2 linked regions of the Drosophila melanogaster genome follow. The protein of the gene in region 2 binds, or shares a complex with, the protein of the main gene of each other region. Each region holds a gene or a part of one and is shown on either strand. Other genes may lie near its edges.

Evidence for each region.
Region 1: MRG15 (region 2) and YL-1 share a complex: the UniProt entries of both Drosophila melanogaster proteins name them as parts of the tip60 chromatin-remodeling complex.

The regions. Positions count from the first base shown.
Region 1 is NT_033779.5:10,968,742-10,972,806, reverse strand, and holds YL-1 (YL-1), read right to left. Parts: upstream 2,365-4,065; 5' UTR 2,254-2,364; coding exon 2,120-2,253; intron 2,060-2,119; coding exon 1,927-2,059; intron 1,851-1,926; coding exon 1,550-1,850; intron 1,491-1,549; coding exon 1,003-1,490; 3' UTR 714-1,002; downstream 1-713. Other genes in the region: CG16743 (uncharacterized protein), read right to left, coding at 1-299; Tmem214 (transmembrane protein 214), read left to right, coding at 2,685-2,805, 2,879-3,174, 3,231-3,845, 3,911-4,065. UniProt on the Drosophila melanogaster protein: Part of the Tip60 chromatin-remodeling complex which is involved in DNA repair. Upon induction of DNA double-strand breaks, this complex acetylates phosphorylated H2AV in nucleosomes and exchanges it with unmodified H2AV.
Region 2 is NT_033777.3:15,275,911-15,280,148, forward strand, and holds MRG15 (MORF-related gene 15), read right to left. Parts: upstream 2,200-4,238; 5' UTR 2,124-2,199; coding exon 2,051-2,123; intron 1,991-2,050; coding exon 1,876-1,990; intron 1,820-1,875; coding exon 1,704-1,819; intron 1,661-1,703; coding exon 675-1,660; 3' UTR 530-674; downstream 1-529. Other genes in the region: CG4338 (uncharacterized protein), read left to right, coding at 1-528; l(3)neo43 (lethal (3) neo43), read right to left, coding at 2,333-2,531, 2,593-2,711. UniProt on the Drosophila melanogaster protein: Part of the Tip60 chromatin-remodeling complex which is involved in DNA repair. Upon induction of DNA double-strand breaks, this complex acetylates phosphorylated H2AV in nucleosomes and exchanges it with unmodified H2AV.

The sequences.
Region 1 (4,065 bases), on a different chromosome or scaffold from region 2:
GCAGGATAATTGTACTTGTGCTCCGTCTTGGAGTGCTTGTGCTTCTTCTCTCCACTGCTGCTGCTGCTGCTGTCGCTGCTATCGCTGTCCGTCCTAACCACTTCGTACTGAAGTAGCAGTACCAGAAGGACTCCAATCGCCGCACAGCTCTTCATTTCTCCGTTTAAACGCACGACGTTCGTTTGATCTAAGCTCACGGGTATGACTAAATCTTGCTCACACAATACCTTGTCCCGTTCCCGTTCCGACAATTCAAATAGCCAGCGCGTGCGTTGATTTTGATAAGTCGACAAAAACATACAGATGCGACAAGGTTGCGGCAGGGCCCACTCAACTAATTCCCTGTAAGAGTTTAGGATTGAAAAACAATTTCATTCGGAAATGAACAATACTTCGCCCATAGATTATAAATAGAGAATACAATGGGTTAATAATTTATGTGATGTAATGTCTCATACTTATTAATTAGTTATTGTGTGTCGGAACAACCGCATTTCCTCCAGATTTTGTTATATATTGCAAAGAGAGGCTGTGTGCTTATCAATTTGACGCAAATTAAGCGAAACAATTCTTTTGAATAATCTTAATAGAAGACTGCGACGCTTTTATTATTTAGACAACTAAACTTTTAAATAGAGCGGCAATTAAAATTAGATACTAAAAGGTAATAAATGGGTTTTACATATACAAATTGGATTAGCAAGATAAACTTTCTTTTGTGTAAACTGTTTTATCAACTTCTTAAGTTAATAAACCGGATGCTGCTGATAAATAAAATCAAAACAGACTGTGCGTTGATTATAAATACTTTTTAAAGATAACGTTTTGGGAAATACCCTATGTACTACTTTTCCATTGTCGCCATTGTATGAAATATATTAGGTAATCGTTTGGTACTGCCTGAAATTGACGAGGGTTGTCCAAAGAGTAGTTTGTGATTTCTTATACCTTTTTATTCGAAAAATACGTATAGCTTAATGAACTATAAAATTGATAGCATTATTAGTTATCTCCGTTTTTGCTGGCAGCTGCCGAAGCCTTCAGACGATTCTCCTTGACCAGCTTGCGCCATTCCAGCCATTTGGCCAGTTCGGGTTGCTCGCTGCCGCCGCCTTGCTGTTCCAGCTGCATGTAGTAGGCTTCGCGCAGAATTTTGAAGGCCTGGATGCTGTAGTATGGCTGCTGTGTGATCGGGTCAAAGTAACGGGCTGGCAGCCTGGTGATTGGACAGATGCCATTGCTGGCTTTGGGAGGCGCCTTGTGGCGGAAGAGGCTTTGAAACACCTTGTCATTGAAATCGTTCTCGATTGTAACGAATGTGCGTTCGCACTTCCCAGCAAGATCCTTTGAATCGACCGCAGGGTTTGCTCCGCGAGTGGGCTTTCGCATCGCTGGCATGGTTAGTGAGTGGTAGCGTATCGTGGGTCCGGAGAACGTGCGCTTGGTGGGACGTGATTTCTTCTTCTCCAGCTCCATTTTCTGGAATTTCTCTGTGAATGCAACAGCAAATTGTAAAATAGCTGCTTCCTTGGTTGCTTTAGATACCCACCCAAAGATTTAGTGTTTTCTTCCTCGGTTATTTTGGCCTCCTCCAGCAGCTCCTCCTGCGTGGGCATGTAGTCCTCCACGCGCACCTTCTTCTTTTTGCGCTTGCGGGCATCGTCCAACTCTTTGAGGCGTATTTTGGTAGCCTGTGTCTTGATGGCCGTGGAAGTGCGTATGGATTTGCGGCCGGAATCGAGGACCGTGAAGCGTGGACGTGGCCGCCGTTTCGTTACCCCACCACCAGGTCGTTTCTTGTGCAGGGCCGGCGTTGCCTTTGTTTCCTTTTTGACTGCAGGCTTGGTTTCCTGCGGAAATCATATGTACCATTTAAACACATTCAGTAATCACAGGATTTTATCGCATTTTAAGAATGGTTCGCACCTTATAAGCCTTTGTGTTAACGACACCGCGTTTCCGCTTTTTCTCGGGCGCCTCTTCCTGATCCGAAACGGGCTCGTCGTTCTCATCGATACTGAAGTCGGAGTCAACCACATCTTCCTCTTCGTCTTTTTGCCTGCAGAGTGAATTTTATATGGCTTGAGCATTTAAATTTATTCAAATGATTAGTGCTCACTCGTATTCCTTATCCTCTTCGTCCTCCTGAAATCCACCATAGGACGTTTTGTAAAAGTCGTCCTCCTCTTCCTCATTGAGCAAATGAGCTATTTTGTTGCCGGCATTGTTGCGCCGTGATCGCGAGGCAGCCATTTTTGTTATTTATATATAGAAACTATGATTTAAAGCAGCTATTAAATAATAATATTTTACAATTTGTAAATGTAAACAAGCAGAGCAGTGTGACCAATGTAGCAAACATAGTATATATCGCAGAGGCTTTACAACTTTGGTATGCGTTTCAGCCCTGGTAAAGAAAATGGTTTCTCCTGCATTGGCAGTTATTCAAACACATTTAAAACATAGCTAAATTTATTTATTTATCTATTACATGTATCACAACAAAAAGCAGGCAGCTGCTTTAAAATCACATTAAAAAGCGGTCGGTAATTCAACTACCGAAAGTAGACCACATTACTTTACACTTGCGCTGGCCACACTCTTGGCTTGTTGCTTTTTATTCTGCCGGCTGCCTGCATTTTCTGATTTAATTTAATACCATCGATAAAAAGACTGCTCGCAACATGTCGGAACAATGGGAGGTGGTCTCCAAGTCGCGCAAGCAAAAGAATCTGGACAAGAAGGTGTCTGCACACAACGAGCAGAAGCGCATCGCGGCCCAGTTGCCCAAACTGGAGGAGCTGTGTAAGAATCTTTTAAAAGGTGCACCTTGCAATGCGATTACATGTTTGCCCCTGCCATTTTATTCACTTCGCAGTGCCAACTCAGCGGTATCGCAATTTGTTCGGCAGCAGCAACAACAACAACAGCAAGTCCCATTCCCCTGCGAAATCTAGTTCAAGTGCCTCATCTTCCTCAAAAGCCAATAAGTCGCCAGTTAAAAAGCACACCGCAAAGAATGCCTCTACCCAAAAAAGGACCACGTCGGCAGCCGCATCGAAGCCAAAGACTCTGGAGCTGGCCTTGAGAAACATCACCCGGGATGATTTTGCTGCCCAACTGGAGCAGGTGAAGCTCAGTTGTCCTGGCTCCGAGCTGCGCTGGTTAAGCCATGTATGTTTCTAAAGGAAATGTGCCTAAATATTTGCTCACCTATCGTTGTCCCCCAGATTGCGCTATACTTCAATGAAGCCTTGTCCTATGACTGCGATCCCATCTTCTCCGGCCGCTCGGCTCAGTATCCCAGCAATTTGGCCAGCGCCTCGCTCAAGTACTCAATTGTGGAGTTTCTGGGCAGTGTGGGCGAACAAAACCTGGAGTATTTCTTCTACTCCCTGCTGGATAGCATGTCAACGGATCTAAACAACAATCAGACAGTGGCAGGCTACAAGCTCATCCTACAGTTGATCGGTCAAAACTGGCCGAACATTTGTTCTAGGAACCTGGCCAAGACTGCGTTGCTAAGGAACTCCTATCAGAACCGTAGCAACATCTGCCTGAGCATCCTGTGGGCAATTGGACAAGGTGGCTATCAGTCCCTAAACGAGGGCGTTCGCGTGTGGCAGAACCTGATGCTGCCCAACCTGGAGCTAAAGCAGTACACCAAGTTTGTGGTCGAGTATATGGAGCGGGCTCTGAGTGCAGCAGCTGTCCGGAAGACAGCGGATCCTCTGCAGATCAACCAGCAGGAGTTCTTTGCCACTTACAATGCGCTCAATGCACCCTATAACCACCTGCCCAAGGAATGGCAGCAAAGTCTGAAGCGTAGTGCGCGTTTGTTGCTTGTAAGGACGAAAACAATTGATAGTTGTCCCATTGTTTCACTGACCTTTCTTCCTCCTGTGTGTAGCAACACTATATCAACAGTCCTGTGAGGCATGCCAACATATTCCTTACGCTCTTCCGGGAAATAAGCGCCGGATCCAAGCAGACTAATGAGATCGAAGGCTGTATTAGTTGTCTGCTCAGCAGCGGCAGAGATGATTGCCTCAGGGTGTGGCGCAT
Region 2 (4,238 bases):
CAGAAGTTTCCTGGCCTTGTCCTCTCGCCCGTTGGCCAGTTGTGTGTAAGTCCGCTGGATCGCGATGTGGTGGCCTCTTCGGGCGTGGCCGTGATCGACTGCTCGTGGGCCAAGCTGGACGAGACGCCCTTTGGAAGGATGCGCAGCCCACATCCGCGACTGCTGCCCTTCTTGGTGGCCGCCAATCCCATCAACTACGGAAAGCCCTGCAAGCTCAGCTGCGTGGAGGCCATAGCCGCCACTCTATACATCTGTGGATTCACGGAAGAGGCTCGCTGGTTTCTGGGCAAGTTCTCATGGGGTCATGCCTTTCTGGAGCTAAACGACAAGCTTCTCAATGCCTATGCAGCCTGCAAGAGCAGCGATGAGATTGTTAAGGTGCAGAATGAGTACCTGGAGAAGGAACAGCAGGAGCGGGATAAGCCTAGGGATCTTCGCGACTTCTATCCCACCAGCAGTAGTAGTAGTAGTAGCGAGACGGAGACCGAGGGCGATGATGAAGACACAAAAGCGAAACCGAAGAACTAATACAAGGTGCTGACATTTATTACCTTATGACAAAACATTTTACTTGTGTTTTAATTTACAATTTGGGAGCAAATTGAGAGCAACCACCGAATTATTGCAAACTGTTTTGATGAAATATTTACTTCAAGTCAAGAAAAGATTATTGCTTACTGTGCATTTCGCACGTACTCGGGATCAACGTTGATAAAGTTGCTCATGCTGAAAAATATTGAGCTGTTCTTTACGAGGAATTTAAGGAAATCCTGCACGTGCGTGAGTAGGTTCTGCATGGACTGCTGATCCAACGCAGAGTAGCTGAGCATTGAGCCAAGGCGGACAAACAGACGCAGCAGGTGAAAAGATCCGTAAAGCTCGGACAACGGTGTGTCCGGATGCTTCTGCATCACATCCGCGTACTGGGTGCGTTCGAATTTGTACAGCAACTGGGAGCCCAGCATTACATTGAAGTACTCTACAATTCCGTCGAGTACATCGTTTATGGCAACCTCCTTGCTGGCACTGGTCGATTTCACGGACTTCTTGTGCGCCAAATACTGCTCAGAGATCTGCTGCACGGTAACCTTGGCGGGCAGCTCCAGCAGTTTGTGCTCCCGCACCACCGCATACCAGTCGTCGGTCAGATAGTGCTTTAACTCGTCGGGTATCTTAATCTTGACCTCCACCTTAGCTGCGTAGGCCTCCTCGCTTTCCACACACGGTGCCGGCTCCGTGGTGGGTGTGGATGGAGTGGTAGTGGGCGGCAACGGCTTTTCTGCTACATCGCTTCCCGTAAGAGAAGGCCGTTGTTCGCTCATTCTTTTCTTTTTCGGCGCCACCGGCCCCTCTTCCTCAGTGGTCTCAGCTGCGGCGGGGTCTTCCTTTTTATCACTCGGCGTGCCAGGTCTTGCTGTGGATGGCGTCGATTGTGTGGACTTTCGGTGGGCCCGGCTGGTTGTAGAGTTGGCGGTGCTGTTAGTAGTCGTGGTGCCAGTGCTCCCGGCTTCCGATTTGCTTCCCGGTCCGGCGCTAGTTGTTGGTGTGCTGCTAGCGGTCGATTGCGAGGTGTTGCTATCCTTAGACGGCGTCGAGGCACGAGATTCGTTCCGCATCTGTTCCATTTTCTTGGCCTTGGCGCTGCCTGGTATGTAAACACCTTAATTTACAACTCCAGGAATTGCGTTTGTTACTGAACTCACCTTTCTTATTATCCTTCTTGGAGCGCTCGCCGCACTGGCGAGCCAGTTCCTGACGTCGCTTGACGTTGTCATCGTTGTACTTGAGGACTCGGTTCTCGGGCACCCACTCGTCCCAGCTGAAAATGAAATGGCTTTCATGCAGATCGGTGTTCATACTAGTAGCTTTGCTCACTTTTTACTCCAGCCCGCGTAGTGGATGTAGTACTCAACCGGCGTCGCATCGGGTTTTGTTTTCAGAACCTTGGCCTCGTAGATGAGCGGTCCGTGGAAGCACAGAACCCGTTCCCCTGCAAATGGCGCCAATGTGTTTAATTTGATTTATAGTTGGGCTTAAGTTATTGCCCTACCATCCACGAACAGAGTGTTTGCATCGGTCCCCGTGCTATAGTTTTCCACTTTAGCGGGTTTTACTTCTCCCATTTTATTTTCAATAATAGATAATTAACAAATCCTAGAGTGACCGTGCGTGACGCATAGGGCTATCGGATGGGACAGTACCGATGCACTTATCGATTATTTACAGGGTATTGTCTTGGTAGATATTAACAATATTGATTTATTTATGACTATGTACATCAAACAGTCTGTTTTTATGGGTTGTTTTCTTAATGATTTTGAAGGCATCAAGTCTAGTGCTTCGCTGTCGTCGGCTGATCTTCCTGCTCCTCCCAGGGACGTGGACCGCGTTTGTTCTCCCAGTTCTCTATGTCCACGGACTTGACTTTGTCGTACTCCGACTCCAACGTCACATCCTTGCGGTTTTTCATGCTTACGCCGTACTTTTTCATCTCCTCCGGCGTTACCGGCTGCTTCTTGGCGTACTGATACCTGTAAAGGGAGGAGACTCATGAGTTAGCTAAGGATTTCCCGGAGATTCTTGAATGCTAGCCTGAGGTTGGAGAACTGCTGCAGTCCAAAGGAGCCAGCCACCATCATGATGAGGAAGGGTATGCCATATTTGAACGATTTTCGTGTGCTGTAATAGTTTAATTTATCCACGAGAGACATTGTTGTTATTTTGTGTTATGACATTTTGGCACATGCGGTTACACTGCAAGTTGAGAACGAAGTGTGACCAGTTATATGATAATAAAAAAATTGGCGCAAAATTTGAACACCGATTTCTTATCATATGCAATGTAGTTATATTTTATTAAAATAACTTGGCGATAGTTTTAAAAATAATTGAATTTAAGCTAAACTATTAACAAGAATATTTAAAACATAACATTTTGTAATCGAAAAAAGTTATTTTCAATTTGGCACACAGCACTTTATTTTAGCCACACACACTAGGCGCCTATGTCAATCAATTTGTGCAGCTGGTGTCGTCTTTGAAAATAGTTGTCCTTGAATCCAAATCGAAAGATTTGTTGTCCCTGCCAAGTGCGAGCAAGTTCTGAATAATTGCAAAACATTGTTTTCCGGCGCACGCCTAATGCCCACCATTTGCATGGGGTTCGACGATAAGTTCAAGGTCCCCGCCGTCTCTTTGGTTTTCAAATAATTGACACTGACAATGTTGAAGAGCGCCAAAACGCTGTTCACATGCACACGACATTCGATCCGGATCACCTTGGCCAATTGCAGGCTTTGGCAAGGCAAGTAGCTCGCGGCGAAGATTTCCTTTTGCTGCCCACAGCTCCAACCAGTTCGCGATCGCTGCGGCTTCATTCACAAGGAGCCGGCGCCAATTGAGTCATCAGAGGCACCCCCCCCCCCCCTCCCGAGAGACTGGGATAGTCCCACACCCCTTTCCCAATAGATTATATTTCAGTTTGCAATGCACCCTACGCACAGTCTTTTAGTTGAGTGATTTGCCCAATGGGAAATAATATCATTACAATTAAAAGACCAAGGTTTTCATTTAGTATTGAACCTGATGAGCCTACAATGAGCTACATACCTAAGAAGTAAAACTTCTCCAACAACCCGTCACAAATAACTAAAATATATTTTTTATATAAAGCCAATTTCTGCCCGTGTAAACCAAACCCAGTCGTCTATGCCCCTCAGCCCGGATTAAACTTTTCCATACTATTTTCGCCAAATATGGTCGCGATTTTTCTAACAAGATTGCGCACTTGTCTGAGCCAAGCTGAGTGCTACACACTCATGAACTTATTTAATTCGCGTATATTTTGGAATTATGAAAACTTTGGTTTTCCATAACTAACACATGTCAACGGGTCGGATTCGATGGCCATGATTTCGTTTTCGTATTTAGCAAGTTGCTCAGACTGTTTTGCTATTTTACAATGTTTTTCGACGTTTTCTCAAGGGTCTTTTCCATGTCTATGTCTTCTTTGTTTTTTTTTTTCTTTGTCTTTATAAATATATTGATCTAGTTTTCTTGCTTCGAAAACTTTTTGTTTTTAATGAATACAATTACGTCATTTTGTGGGTGTTGTTTGAGTTAATTTTAAAATTTTCATCAACCTCGGACTGGCAAATGTTCTCCAAGATAAGAGAACAACAAAAAATGGAATAAGTAAATACATATATGTATATATGTTGGGGCTATCAAATTGGCTT